Linked DNA regions of Tribolium castaneum. The protein of the gene in region 1 interacts with the protein of each later gene in a pairwise test. Links are inferred from orthologs where the notes say so. Each region holds a gene or a part of one and is shown on either strand. Other genes may lie near its edges.

The links.
Region 2: the proteins of PCNA (region 1) and Set8 interact in a two-hybrid assay, tested with the Caenorhabditis elegans proteins (2 studies listed by BioGRID). The link is inferred for Tribolium castaneum from reciprocal best matches to the Caenorhabditis elegans genes pcn-1 and set-1.

What each region holds. Positions count from the first base shown.
Region 1 is NC_087396.1:13,479,236-13,482,292, forward strand, and holds PCNA (proliferating cell nuclear antigen), read right to left. Parts: upstream 1,549-3,057; 5' UTR 1,425-1,548; coding exon 1,204-1,424; intron 1,153-1,203; coding exon 591-1,152; 3' UTR 501-590; downstream 1-500. Other genes in the region: cytochrome b-c1 complex subunit 7, read left to right, coding at 129-461. UniProt on the Caenorhabditis elegans protein: This protein is an auxiliary protein of DNA polymerase delta and is involved in the control of eukaryotic DNA replication by increasing the polymerase's processibility during elongation of the leading strand.
Region 2 is NC_087401.1:9,678,971-9,682,994, reverse strand, and holds the end of Set8 (histone-lysine N-methyltransferase Set8), read left to right. Parts: intron 1-2,667; coding exon 2,668-3,021; intron 3,022-3,070; coding exon 3,071-3,281; 3' UTR 3,282-3,457; downstream 3,458-4,024. UniProt on the Caenorhabditis elegans protein: Histone methyltransferase that specifically monomethylates 'Lys-20' of histone H4 (H4K20me1). H4K20me1 is enriched on hermaphrodite X chromosomes and during mitosis. Involved in dosage compensation by repression of X-linked gene expression in hermaphrodites.

The DNA.
Region 1 (3,057 bases):
ACAAAACGAAAGTCACTGTTTTCAATTGACGTTTGATAAAAAAGGACTTGTTACCTAATAGCCGAGTACTGTTTTTAAAACGTTTTTTGTATTTCTGTTCATTACTATCATTGTTAGTTGTCCTCATCATGTCTTTGGGGTTCGTTCAGAGACGTTTCATGAGCAGCGCGCTCCAAAAATGGGCGTACAGCATCTCCGGGTTCAATAAATTGGGGCTCATGAGAGACGACTGTTTGGACGAAACCGCCGATGTAAAGGAAGCACTTCGCAGACTGCCACAGCAAGAAGTAGACGCCCGCAATTACCGCATCCTTCGAGCCGTTCAATTGTCAATCCAGAAAGACATTCTCCCCAAAGACCAATGGACTAAACTGGAAGAAGACCGCCTTTACCTGACCCCAATCGTACAACAAGTGGTCAAAGAGAGAGAAGAGCGCGAGGAATGGGAGAAAAATTATTAATAGTTTGGTGTTTCGTAGTTGTAAATTGTAAAAAATAAATTATTAAAAGTAGCACTTTATTTTAGTTTAAAAAATACAGAACGTGAACAAATGAGTAAGAACGTGAATATTGGACTCAAATTAAATAGTCTAGTTTTCATCCTCTTCAATTTTGGGAGCTAAGTAAAACCTAAGGTGTCCAAGATCGGGGATCTGGTACTCGACCACGAGTGGGACGTTGTCAGACATGGACAACTGGACCTGAGACGCCAGAGGAGTAGCTTTCGTGAAGGAATTCAAATACTGGCAGGCGAAAGTTAGGCTCACAGGTTCCTGCATTTCGATCGTTACCGACTCCTCTTCCTTCTCAAAGTTGTTAGTTTGAGCGATTTTCACGTTCGCAGTTCCAATATCGCCGCCAGTGGAGAATTTAACTCCTTCTTTCGTGCACGAAATCATGATGGATTCCCCAAACTGGGCCAAATCCTTGCATATCCTGGCAAACTCGCCAGAAGGCATGCGAATAACGCAGGAGAAATCCGTCTCAGGAATCCCCAGATGCTCCTGGTCCAAATTCATGAGTTTCATTTCGTAATCGGAGATTTTCTCCTGCTTTTTGGCTTCGAACATGAAGGTGACTATGTCGGCATCGTCCTGGGCCTTGATCGTGACCGTGTCTTCGTTGTTCGCACATTTGAATATCTTTGCCATACTGTTGAAAAAATTATGAATAAGACAATTGGTGCTTAAGCTTGCTACTTACTTAGCCAGATTCATGCCCATTGTTAAGTTGCGGTCGCATCTGTATTTATCGAAACCATCGGATCGCAACATAAGGGACACCAGAGAGACGTGGGAATTGTCCATGGCCTGGAGCTGGATCCCCGACTCGGAGCAGTCAAAGGAGGCTTCATTGAGAAGGTCCTTGATGGCATCCAGGATTTTCTTGAAGGTGGCACTCGCCGTCAAACGTGCTTCGAACATTTTGCCGGTTAACACAGAAAATAACGACACAGAACTGAATTAACACAAAGGGCAGTGCACCAAGTGAGCCGACAACTTCCTGGAAATGCGAGGGAAACTGCAGTAAATGCGCGCCAATTTCTTGGGGATTTTCAAATTCGTCAATGTGGATCTGCTGAGGCAACGTGATTGGCTGATACCGATCACATGACTTTCAAGAAATTGTGAATAATCCACGTAATTGTGCTAAATTTATTTTAAATATAGTTACTTGTTGTGACACAAGTTTTGCGTCCTGTAATACTCCTATATTGGCTTATTTTAGTTAAATAAAAAAGCTGGAATACGGGGGTTTGAATTTGGGGCTAATTGTTTTGTGTGGTTGTCGTCATGGGGGTGAAAGTGGGATACGCGCATTGGCAACACGAGAGTATAGGCCAGGGGGGTTTTGCACTCCCGGGGAGATGAAAAGGGACGACCAATGACGACTGCTTATTTTAAAACAAGCGCGTATTTATTAGGGATTTCATTAAATTATATTTTTTGACGTAACAATGACATCTACGCTTGCGCGCAGATCGCTAAAAAGATCGCGCCGAAAATATCGCGCCAAAAGTGTTGTTTTGTCACTCATCGTTCAACGTGTTACCGGAAGTATGTAGCAATTATTTGTTTCATCGTTTAATCAAAGCAAAAATTCTGATTACAGTTCGTTAGTGAGTCAATTCCTGGTGTTGAGCGCCGACCAAAAAGATAAGTATCTCTTGTTTTGTTAATATAACCTCATCTTTTTGATTGGTGTTTCTTTCTATTTTAAAGGCATTGGTCTCTGGGCTGGAGTGACGGATTTTTGATTTCTACTACTCAAGCGAACTTTAGTCATGGCTGGTTATCGCAAATATTCCTGCAAATACCCCGGATGCACCAGTGGTTATGTTCCCAACAAAGGACATGCCAACAAGCATTTCTTCACCTTCCCTAAGAATCTAAAGCTTCACGAATTGTGGAGGAATGCCTGCAAAATTGAGGATCCTGTAAGTTCAAAATTTTGGCGTTTTCTCGATTTAGGGTATTTCAGAATTTACTTTTAAGTTTCTTATTTGCGCTCGAGTGTGTCAGTGCACTGCATGTACCTCCTCGTGGTCGTAGCGTGGGCAACTGTTTGCTGACAGACAAGGTAAAAGTCATTGCAAAGAAGGCCTTATTTTGTTTTAAGTCTGGAGCAGACAGGCAAAACATGCCAACACTAACTGATTTAATTTTTTGATAATTTTTGTATAATTAAGAAATAATACAATACTTTAATTTTTTGAAAAATTTAATTTGTTATGTTACTCAAGTGTACAATAAAAATGTTAACAAAATCTGTGTTTTATTACCCCAAAACAACTTTTTTTGTAAGTTTCATTGCAAATTTTGTTTAAAATAAATATAAAATGTTTTCATTTCGTTTAAAATGAAAATATTTTTTTTTATTTTAAACAATTTGCAATAAAACTTGTAAGATAAAAATAATAAAAAACAGAATATAAAAGGAATTTATTCAAACGTGGCGCTTTACCGTGGTAGTAACGCACTTCAGCACCAGAGGCGCTGTATTCTCGTGTTGCCAGTGATTTACTAGGGAATTATCACTTCTTAACCTTTACTGTTC
Region 2 (4,024 bases), on another chromosome or scaffold:
TAAAAGCACATTTTGTTCTTGAAAATTTGTTAAACTGTACCGAGTGACTAAATAAATGAAATAAAAATAAAATAAAAAGACTTTATTTCCTTAGAATTTTTCACACTCTTTAGCCTGGAACTCTCAATTTTCTTATTTTCTTTAAAATGAGCCAAGAAAACAGTAAATTTGTTTACAATGGTAAGATTTTACTAAATCGGTCCGAAAATCTCTAAATTGCCTTAGAAAAAAAATTACATTATTTTTGCTTTATTCATGTTTTAGCATTTAGCACTACTATCAGCAGGAAACGCAGTTACTTAATTTCGTTAAAAACAAGCTGAAAATTTACCAGATTTAACTTAAATTGGTGTGTCTTGGATTTTTTGCATGTTTAGATAAATTTTTCGCTCAAAGTGGTTAAGAAATTGAAATTTTGATGGAGATAGATGTGATTTTTTTGTTTTACTGGATTTCCACTGAAATACGTGGATTTCGAACGATTTATTGTTTAAATAGTTGCTTTGAAATACCTCAAATATCTTTATTTTTATTGAAAACGACGGTTTTTGCATTAGTTTTTTTTTAATAGTTACATTTCCTTACTAAAACCCAGAGAAATTGCTCAATTGTTCAAATCACCTTACTTTAGTCTAACCGACGATTTTTGTTGATATAAGTTGATTTGTTGAACCAGAGAACACTTTTTTTTTGCAAAATATTGTCTAAAAATTACAGAAAATATCTAAATTCATTATATTTTGCTTGTTTTACTTGATTTTAAAAATTTTAAAAGTTTAACTTTTTTTTAAATGGTCTTAATTTTATTTTTTTTTGAGCCTTAAGGCATGATCTTAAATCTTAAATTTGGGTTTTTTGCGGAGATTTCACCTACTAAAACCTTCGGAAAAATCATCAAATAATATTATTTTTCGAACGTTTTAGTTCGATTTTATCATAAGCACGATTCTCGCGGAAAGTTTTGTTAAAAACGAGGAGAAAAATCAGCAAATTACGTCAAAAAAGTGTAATTTTTTCCTTGTCAATGTTGTAATTATATACTTAAAAAATAAAATACTCAGCTGAACACGTACCGTTCATTTATTAAATTAATAAAGGTAAAATAGGCCAAAAAACCACATATTTATCGAAAAATGAAATTATTTTTGCCTTTTTTGATTATTTACCGAATCAAAAGCCAATAAATAAAGTCGAAAATGTCAATTTTTCTATTTCCTTACAATATTCAAGCAAAACCTCAATTATTTCCTCTGAAATAAACAGCAAATCATTTTATAATGGTTAAGATTTCACCGGTCGAAAAAGCACTAAATTATATTGAAAATTAGATTATTTTTTCTTGTTTATTAGCAAAAAATCCAATTTTTTTTAATCATTCGTTTAGCTGTAATAACAAAGTTTAATTTTTTTAAATGAGAATCATAGTTGGCTATGACATTTTCGAAAAGCTTATTTTTTTCTGAACTCAAAACAATATAAATACAGTTTGATATTTTTAATATTTTTGATAAAAAATATATTTAAAATATTTGAAAGTAATTGGCCATGGAAAAATTATTTCACATAAAAGGTGTGAATAATCTAGAAATTTTGTGAACGGTTATTAAAGTAAAAAATGTGAAATTATAAAAATAAGCTAAGTTAAAGTTATTTTCAATTGAACAAATACGAGCGTCGCAGATTTTAATTACATGAAAATGTGCAGAAAATTGCAAACGATGTGTCACTACCATTTGATGACACTTTTTTATGATTTAATGAAGTTCAATGGAGGTGACGTTGGTAATGTTATGTATTTTTTACCGCAGATGGAATTTGATTTTGTTGTTTGGGTTGACATTTTTTTTGTAAAATAAAGTTTTATTGATACGCAATTTTACAATTAATAAGATTTTTCTTCTTCCGACATTTCATGTTTAAAACTGGAAAATAGAATGACAACGTAAGCTTGCCATTTTAAATATAAAAACAAATATTTTTTATTAAATGCACAAATTTGATCTAATAATAATTTATTATGCTGTTTTTGAATTAATTAGGGTTTAAAACATCATTAAATTATAAATACTTGTTGTGTAATACAATTTTCATAGTTTTAATTAAAAATCCAAAAAAATTTCATGGCCTACTATAAAGAAAAAGCGAAATGTTTTGTTTTTTCTTAAATATTTAAAATTAATGTATTACACAAATAGACATATCAAATCAGAAAAAAATAGGCTTTTCGAAAATGTCATAGCCAACTATGATTCCTATTTAAACAAATACAACTTTATGTTATTACAGTTAACCGAATGGTTGAAAAAAATCGCTTATAACATTATTAGATTCTCTGAAAAAAGTGCCTCTATAATGTCTTTGTTTCAAATGTGTATCTTTTATAATAAGGAAGATATGATTTTTTTTAAGATTTCGCTAAAATGTCAACTTCTGTTTATAAGTCGAAAACAAAAGACGATAGCGAGATGAGGTTTTGACCAAAATTATTTAACTTCTTAATTTCGAAGATCCCGTATTCGGACATTCAAAATGCAGCACCCTGTACTTAAAGCAAACGAATTATAGAGGTTTCACTGTATTTCAAATGAATTTTTATAAATATGTTCAATTGCAATCTCAATCTCATATTTCACATTTCTTTCACTTGTATTTTTTACTATATTAAAGGTTGAACTGTCAGCTGTCAACCGACCCCAAGGACAACAACCACAAGGTCACCGACTACTTTCCGGTGCGCCGTTCGGTTCGCAAAACGAAAAAGACGGTCATGGAAGAAAAACAAAGAACTTTAGAGGAGTTGTTACGAAACGGCGTTGAAGAAGGTCTCGAGGTCAGGATTTTCTCGGACAAAGGTCGCGGTGTGGTCACTTCGCGCCCTTTCACCAAAGGCGATTTCGTAGTTGAATACAGTGGCGACCTCATCGACATTAACGAAGCGAAAAGACGCGAATTGAAATACGCCCAAGATTTAAATACTGGGTGTTACATGTATTATTTTAAACATAACAATCAACAGTATTGGTAATTTGAAATAATTGCAATTAATTGTGTTTTAATTGTGATTTTTCAGTGTGGATGCGACCGCCGAAAGTGGTAAGTTGGGGAGATTGGTGAACCATTCGCGGAACGGTAATCTCATCACCAGGACCGTAGCGGTGGATAATAAGCCCCGGCTTGTACTTATTGCAAAGGATGATATCAAGGCCGGCGATGAGATTACTTACGATTACGGTGACAGATCGAAAGAATCGCTAAAGCATCATCCGTGGTTAGCCTATTAATTTATTTGTTTTTTTATTTATTATTTTTTCCTTTTTTTGTAATTGTCGGAAACGTGTAGAAAGGCACAGTTTGTTTTAAAGTGGTCACTGCCTTTTTTATCTTATTTTTTTGTGAATGTACTTGGATAGAAGCAACGGTTGACTAAAGATTAGATAATAAAAGATTTGTTTTGTGAGGAGTTTGCAATATAGCATCCTGTGGTCCTTGTCCTTGAAATTGGGGGGCAATTTCCCAACTATGAACCCCACGTTGGGCGCCTATTTAATCGCACGGTTGTTGTTTCAGAACGTTGCCAATGCAAAATGGAGGTGGTGGCACGTCGGGCGCCATTTTTTAGCTTGTTTGTAAGTTTACTGGGGTTTATTTTAAACGGCAATGCGTTGTTTTCGAAAAATGCGTGTACTCAACGTTGGGCGCCATTTTTTACTTGTTACATTTCTGTTTTGTCTAATCATGGACGAGTACAGGTAATTCCAAGTTGTACCATCTCCCAAAAAATAAATACCTTTCGTATTGGAGAACAATTTTTCCAGCGCAAGTGCGCAAGTGATAAAGTTTTAAAAGCGCTGTACTACACATCCATATTAGGAAATTATAAATGCGTTCTAATTCTCTAGGTTTTTGCAGTTTTATTGAATATCTTAGATTAGTTGTAGCATTATAATTAAAAAAAAATCGCGTATTAAATTTGAAAGTTCACCTACACTTTGTTACTTAGAAGCTTATGAGGCGTTTGTTCGCA